2 linked regions of the Ovis aries genome follow. Each later gene encodes a partner of the first gene's protein in a complex. Links are inferred from orthologs where the notes say so. Each region holds a gene or a part of one and is shown on either strand. Other genes may lie near its edges.

The links. The genes of interacting proteins can lie anywhere in the genome.
Region 2: STX5 (region 1) and STX4 share a complex: the UniProt entries of both Homo sapiens proteins name them as parts of the SNARE complex. The link is inferred for Ovis aries from reciprocal best matches to the Homo sapiens genes STX5 and STX4.

Annotation. Positions count from the first base shown.
Region 1 is NC_056074.1:37,649,241-37,652,988, forward strand, and holds the end of STX5 (syntaxin-5), read right to left. Parts: intron 1,252-3,748; coding exon 1,092-1,251; 3' UTR 506-1,091; downstream 1-505. UniProt on the Homo sapiens protein: Mediates endoplasmic reticulum to Golgi transport.
Region 2 is NC_056077.1:27,673,410-27,677,476, forward strand, and holds the start of STX4 (syntaxin-4), read left to right. Parts: upstream 1-1,258; 5' UTR 1,259-1,543; coding exon 1,544-1,573; intron 1,574-1,760; coding exon 1,761-1,862; intron 1,863-1,975; coding exon 1,976-2,075; intron 2,076-2,210; coding exon 2,211-2,285; intron 2,286-2,787; exon of another isoform or gene 2,788-3,012; coding exon 3,013-3,083; exon of another isoform or gene 3,084-4,067. UniProt on the Homo sapiens protein: Plasma membrane t-SNARE that mediates docking of transport vesicles. Necessary for the translocation of SLC2A4 from intracellular vesicles to the plasma membrane.

The DNA of each region.
Region 1 (3,748 bases):
AGGACTGACAAGCATATTGACCTTCCAGGGTAGGGTAGGTATTCCAGGCAGATCTCTACTTCATTCTCCTGTGACTGGTTTGGATTTGGTGAGGGGCTTCAAGAGGGGACCAAGAGCCTCAGCTGGAGCTGGGAACAAATTCTTCACCTTTCACTCCTGGCAGCAGGCAGAACTCCTGCTTCATCCAGCCCAAGGAAAACGGTAGGACTGGAAGATGCAGATGAAACAGGTCCAAATACTTCTGGAGATGGTCCTAGAAGTTACCACTAATCAGAGACCCACTCTGGGATCGTATACCCTGCTTTGAAGGGAATTTTCCATGATAATTAAGTACTGCTGCACTGGGTTAGGCCTGCTGGAAGCAGCTGTGTATACAGAGCCCAAAGCCTGGCCCCTCAGGGTCATCAGTCCAGCCCTTTCAGTTGTAATACTGGGCAGCAGGCTCCCTCCATTTCTGCCTAGGCCCTTCTTCGGCGCTCCCACCCAGAAATGACGACATGGCTAGTGAGGCTGACAGTCTTGCTGTAATTGGGAGAAAACGGGCTGCAGCACGTTTGGCAGATTGAGAGTCACCTGCAGCCAAAGTTGGGGTTGTGCAGGCCGCCGAGGGGCTCAGGGCCCCCTGCCTCATGTCGTGGAGAGGAAGAAGTCAAATTCTAACCCAGATGGGAAAGTTGGTCCCTGGGGCAGTTTCACTTCCTCTCCTTGCTCTCAGGAAGGTGGGGAAAGGCATCATCTCCCCTTGCTGCCAAAGTTCCCTTTGCGACAGGCTGGGGAGGGTTTATAAAAATCTCCTGGTGGAGACAATCTCCCGGACGAGCCCCTCAGTTGGCCTCTGCTCCTTTCCAGCCACTTCACAGCAGAGTCCAAATCCAGAACCGTGTGTGTTTCATGGGCTGGAGGGTGGTGAGGGGAGGGCTGGGTGGCCAGAGGCAAGGAGTGGGGGACCGAGGGCAGTGGTCATTCTTAGCAGTTCCAAGGAAACAGGGCCCTTCTCCCAAGCACCCTGCACAGGCTCAGTGGCAGCTCTGGCCACCTGCCCTCCCAGAAGGGTTCCAAACCCCCATGGAGTGCCTCAGAGTGGAGAGGGTTCAGGCAAGGAAGACCACGAAGATGATGAAGAAGACAATGAGGATGAGGAAGATTTTGACCATGAGCCACCGGTTGGACGTGACCGACTGGAAGTACTTGAGGATCTCTGAGTGGGCGGCCTCCACGTCCAGCTGGGCTCCCAACACATTCTCGTCGATCCTGAGGATAGGTTCGGGAGGAGGGGAAAGAGAAGAATGTTGGATTAAAAAGACTGCTGTTGAATTTTATTTTTTATGTATGTATATATTCTTGCCTAAAAAATCCCCTGGATAGAGGAGCCTGGCGGGCTATAGTCCATGGGTCCCACAGAGTCAGACACAACTGAAGTAATTCAGCATGAACACATAGAGGAAAAAGCTCTGGAAGGGTAATATAACAATTCTTGGCTCTGCAACTTATTAGCTAATGAACCTAAGCCACTCATTTAACCTCAAGTCTCATTTCCCTCAACTGCAAAGGAAGAAAAAACGAGATAATATAAATCCTAGGTTCCTTGTCAGGCCTAAGCGAGTTATATAAAAGTGCCCAACCCATACTAAGAGAATCCAAAATGTCTACATAACTTTTTGCTCATCGGTATTTACTAATTTTTGTCTAAGTAACAATATGTGGTCAGTTGTGTCCAACTCTTTGCAACCTCATGGACTGAAGCCAGCCAGTCTCCTCTGTCCAGGGGATTTTCCAGGTAGCAATACTGGAGCTGGTTGCCATTTCCCTCTCCACGGGATCTCCCCAACCAGGGCTTGAACCTGTGTCTCTTGCGTCTCCTGCATGGGCAGGCCACTAGGGCCACCTGGGAAGCCTCTAATAAACAGTACTGATTTGTAATAAGGGGGGAAAGGTTACAGAAAATCATGGTCAGGAAACCCTTATTCTAAGTGAGAAAGGAAGAACCTGATGATATGGACAGAACATCAAGGGATGAGAAAAGCCCTATATTAGAACATGTCTCTTAGGATATAGAGAAGCCCTCAGAAGAATGGCAATCACTTGAGACATTGCTGAGGAAAATCAAACATTTCCCAGCTAATCTGCATATACAATCCTAAAAACCAAATATAAACCCTGGTCTTTGCAAAGGGAGTCACTGGAAGCAGGGACCTTTAGGAGCTGTGAGGTCAGAAAAGTTGGTGGAGCCTGATAATCAAGGAAGAAAGTGAGAGGAAAGGCTGGGCCACTGGCTGCAAGCCCAAGTTCCTGGTAAGGTGGTCAGGAGAATGACAACCTAATCTCTGTCCAAATGCAGAAGCCTGGATTCTACATGACTCCCTATTTATGTCAGAGAGGCTAAAGTATTAGGTTCCCTAGTTTTTGGTATAATTACATTTCTCAGTGTGGATGCACTTGTCATCTCATACCCAATAAAGCTCAATCATATTGGCAATTATAATGGCTTCACTTAACAAAAATGGAAGAATGATGAATGCAATCTGGCATATAAAAGATTTTAAATGGGAGTCTGTGAATGAAAACTAGTGCAAGGGAAGAAGTTACTATCACTCAATAGTAATTTTAAAGAGAGGAAGTTCCTTCTTTATGGAAGAATATAAGCTAATTAACGTAGAAGAAATGAGCAAATTAGAAAATGACCATTTTGCCACACACACTCTCAAACAAATCAGACAAGGATCACCAGCAGGCCGATAAAGAGGTAACCTCATCAAGTGCTTCCTGATGTGATCACCTACACAGCCGGCCGAAAGTACTGAACTTAATCATAGGGACAAACAGTGCACAGAGGACTCAAAGTGTCACTCCACTGATGACTTAAGTCTGAGTGTCACCACCTTGAACAAGAGACCAAACAGGGTATCACCAATAAAGAGAACCTCATCAAGTGTCTACTGATATGACTGCCTACAGGGATGGCTGAAACTACTGAACTTAATTTAATCAGAGGGACAAACATCGGACAAAAACATGTCTATGACTTTGTATAAGAGGTACTGGTCTCTTAAAAACAAAGTAAATTATCACACACACTCAAAAAGGCAGACTAAAGAGACACAACAATTCAATGTATGAATGTTGTCTAAATCTTAAATTGAAAGGAAAAGGCTAAATTTTTTTCGAAGAGTTGGGGAAATCTGAGTATGGATTGATTATTGGGTTGTGTTGGAGAAGTGTTCAATTTCTTAGGTTTGATGGTGGCTCAGAGGGTAAAGCATCTGCCTGCAATGCAGGAGACCCAGGTTCGATCTCTCAGTTGGGAAGATCCCCTGGAGAAGGAAATGGCAACCCACTTTAGTGTTCTTGCCTGGAGAATCCCATGGACAGAGGAACCTGGTGGGCTACAGTCCACGGGCTCGCAAAGAGTCGGACAGGACTGAGTGACTTCACTTTCACTTCATGATATTGTGGCTGTTCAGGAGAAATACTTATTCTTGGCAGATGCTTGCTGAAGTATCTGGGGATAACACACGATGTTTGAAAAAACTGTCATGATGTTTGCACCTACTTTTTTTTTTTTACATGCACACAGCCTTGTTTATTTATTGTTCTTTATTTGTTTTAAAATATTTATTTGGCTGCACCAGGTCTTAGTTTCGGCACGCAAGATCTCTTAGTTGCAGCGTGTGGGATCTAGTTCCCTGACGAGGGATTGAACCCAGGCCCCCTGCACTGGGAGTGCAGAGTCTTAGCCACTGGACCACCA
Region 2 (4,067 bases), on another chromosome or scaffold:
AAGCATAAAAGAGAAGACCAGGGAATCATAAGCTTCATCTTCAGTTATATAAGAGGCTAAGACTCTATCAACAAATATTTACTGAGGGCCTAACATGTGCTGGGGTTCCTAGTTGGTTCAGTGGTAAAGAATCTGTCTGCCAGTGAAGAAGACACAAGAGATGCTGGTTCGATCCTTGGGTTGGGAAGATCCCCTGGAGGAGGAAATGGCAACCCGCTCTGGTATTCTTGCCTGGAAAATTGTATGGGCAGAGGAGCCTGGTGGGCTACAATTTGTGTGTGTTAGTCACTTAGTCGTGTCCGACTCTTTTGTGACCCCATGGACTGTAACCCTCCAGGCTCCTCTGTCCACAATCATGCCCTCACTTTAGTAACTCACAGGCCACGATAATATGTAATATTTTTGTGGGTTCCAGAGGGTAGACCCCCAGTGCAAGGTGGGGGTCTGGGGAGGGGGTTGTCTAAGTGACATGCTGCTCAATGTAACAGACTTTTTTCTAAGCCCGAGCTGCCCTGAAATGCCCTGCTCAAAGGTGGTGAGTGCAGCGGGACTGCAGTGTTCAAGCCGGGCGCCAGCCAGCCGCCCACCTGTCAGAAACTGTGCCAGGAGTATGCGGGAGAAGAGAGTTCCGCCTCGGGTGAGGTCACTTCCCACCCCCAGATGCTCTGCCTACAAAATCTCGCAAGTCTCTGACGCTGTATTTTATTCTTTTCTGAATTTCAAGGTCTCATGATGTTGACAGCTCCAAATTCTAAGTCCTCAGTCTGCCCACACTCGCGGACCCAAAAGAAAGGAAGCCGGATTCAGCCTGGGTCCTACCACCCACTGTCTCTGGGGGTAGTCAGCGCCCCCTCCCCGCCTCGCGGGGGTTCTGAAGAGAGGTAACTCGCGCGCGGGGTGCCGAGGACGTCGTGGGGAGATGGGTGTTCCAGAGATGGAGTTGACAGGGCAGAGACATGTGACAGTCGAAGCGTCACGTTCCGTGGTCTGAGAGGTTGGGACCAGGCCGGTCACATGACGCGCGCGGGGGGGTTTGCACTATGGGGTGATGCGAATTGAGAGGGCCTCACAGATCACGTACCAATGACGCATTCCCACCCCTTTTGGCAACTAGATTTCCGCTGGAAGATGCGATAGTTCCGGCAAAGGGGGCGGGTTCTCACGTCCTGGCAATTTCGCTTCCGTTCGGGGCGCTGAAGCTTCCGACCTCGGCCTTTCCCTGGGGTGGGGAAGGGACGCGATCCGGTGCGCATGCTCCAGTCTTTCCAGAGGGGGCGGGGCTGAGGCTACAGGAGAGGGCGGGGGGAAAGAAAAGGGAATTCCAACCTGTGGAATCTTGGGGGTCCCCGAGGTCGGCTCCTTCCCTTTGAAACTGTGAATGGTGCCAGGGACAGAGCCTCTAGCGACTCTTGGGGGAGGGTTTGGGGCCTGCAGGGTGAGGGCGGAGGGGAGTGTCAGAGTGTGAGTTGGGTACGGGAGTTCCAAACTTAGAATCTTGAGGCCCGCCGGGCTCCGGCGCCGGCGAGAGGGATCTCGGGCCGCCATGCGGGACAGGACCCACGAGCTGAGGCAGGTGAGAATTTGGCGCAGCAGGGTTGGGGACGGGTGGACGGGATGGGGTCTACTGGAATGCAGGACTCCTGGTCCTCGGGGCCGGGAGGGATGACTGTGGGCTAGGAAGGAAAGTCCCGGAAGCCCGTGAGTTCTACTGGGGGAGAGCAGTAGCAAGGAAGTGATGCCAGTGACCCCGGCCCTGGCAGGGGGATGACAGCTCGGACGATGAAGACAAGGAGCGAGTCGCGCTGGTGGTACACCCGGGTACTGCACGGCTGGGGAGCCCGGACGATGAGTTCTTCCAGAAGGTAAGAGGCTGGAGTCTCGGCCTGGATTCACGAGGGGCCTGGAGGGCCCGAGGAGCAGAGCAGCCTGGAGCAGCGCCCACATCTCCCTCAGCCCTCTCGGTCATCGTCCCCAGGTTCGGACAATTCGGCAGACTATCGTCAAGCTAGAGAATAAAGTCCGAGAGTTGGAGAAGCAGCAGGTCACCATCCTGGCCACGCCCCTTCCCGAGGAGAGTGAGTGAAACCCCGGGTGCAGAACGCATGCTCAGCTGGAGGCTTGTGGGGGTTGTAGTTCCACACAGGTGGTGGCCAGGGAGATTTGTTGAGGTAGAGGTTGCTATTTGGGCATCATGGCTTTCTCTTGTTTAGGCATGAAGCAGGACCTGCAGAACCTGCGTGACGAGATCAAACAGCTAGGGAGGGACATCCGCGCGCAGCTGAAGGGTGAGCTCCTAGGACTTTAGCCAGATACTTTCCTCTGATCCTGCCCAACTCCTGGTATTTCTGGGCAGTGTGTGGTCCAGAGAGGCCAGTGATATATATCCAGGTCACACAGCAGGCCAACGTCTAGAATCTCCATCTCCTGGCTTTCGGTCCAAAGTTCTTTCCACAGCATATGCCTGCCTCTCAAGTTCCCTTATTTATAATGAAACCATGTCCATTTGATCTTTGTCCAAGGCAGAGGTTAGCGTTGCTACCTCCACCTTCAGGTCGTTATCTGCATATAACTGTATAGTCTGCCGTCCACATCCCAGGTTCTGCAAGGGTGGATTCATGCAGTCATGGATTGTGTAGTACTGTAGTATGCATTTATTTTCTAAAAATTCAGGTATAAGTGGACCCACAGTTGTGCAAGGATCATCTGTACTCCTACAATTCTTGCTGCCCAGTGTGTATTCTTTGGGTGGGAAGATGTGGGTTTTGTTAGGAAGCTTCTCCAAACATGTGGGAATTCTCTGATGTATTTATTGCAAAGAAAAATATACTTTTGCCTGTCAGAGGCTCAAGAGTAGTCATTTATGATGAATTTTATTTCAAAAAAAAAGCTCTGTGGAGATATTGTATCTCTCTCTATTGTATGGCTGCATGGCTGGGTCCCAGTCCCCAAATGAATTTCAGAAGCCAGAGGTCAAACCCCCTCCTCTACCAATACTTCTGTGTCTTTCCACAGCCATAGAGCCCCAGAAGGAGGAAGCTGATGAGAATTATAACTCCGTCAACACAAGAATGAGAAAAACCCAGGTGGGTTCATTATTCCCAGAAGTAGGACATTTCAGCAAGTGTTCAATAGATCATTAGATGGCAGATGTAAGAAGGCAGGGCTCTTAGAGATCATTAAATCCAACCTGATGATTTTCCAAATGAGGAAACTGAGGCTCAGAGATAAAAAAGGATTTACCCCAAGGTCAAGAACCCGGGTTTCCTGACTTCCAATCTGTTATAACACCTTGCCTTCTTCTCCTCCATTCAGTGAGAAGTTGCTGAGACCCCAGACATGATCTGGGCTTGGTTGTAGGAGATATACTTTCTAGAAGCCAAGATGGGGAGTTAAGCTTGCATAGATGACAAAGACATTACTCAGGTAGGACTTGGTAGTTAATGGCTCTGCCCAGGGAAAAAAAGGGTGCAGTCAAGTGACTGGGTGGTTTCCTACCCATGTGATGAGGACATCCTCTGCCCCAAGGACAGAATTCAAGTCAGGAAGAGGAACTTCCCTGGTGTGTGTGTATGGGGAAGGTCACTGAATCATCATCTTAATAAGGAGATTTGAAATGGTCTGAGCAGTGTCCTCTGGGTGCCCAGAGAGGCATGGTTTGGAGTTCTTGGAGGTCAGAGTTGGAGTAGGTGGGCCCAGAAATCAGCAAAGACCCCAGATTGAAGATTAAACAATTTGGGGATTTTTTTTTTAATGGAAGAGAAGGAAAGAGTAGTTTTATTACTTTGCCAAACAAAGGGGGGAACACAGTAGGCTAGTGCCTCAAGAACTGCCCCCCCACAATTTGGGCATCTTGAAAGGGTGCAACTGAACCCAGGACAGCAGATGTGTCCTGGAGAAAGGAACTCCAAGGAATGAGCAGATTTTAGGCATCAGGAAAATGGACAAGCAGGGAAGGCATTTACAGGGGGTGGGGGGCTTGTGGTAGTCATTGTGTGAGAGGCTGAGTGCCCAGGTGGGCCTGCAAAATCTGGGAAATGCAAAATCCTGGCACACCTTTAGTCTAAGCA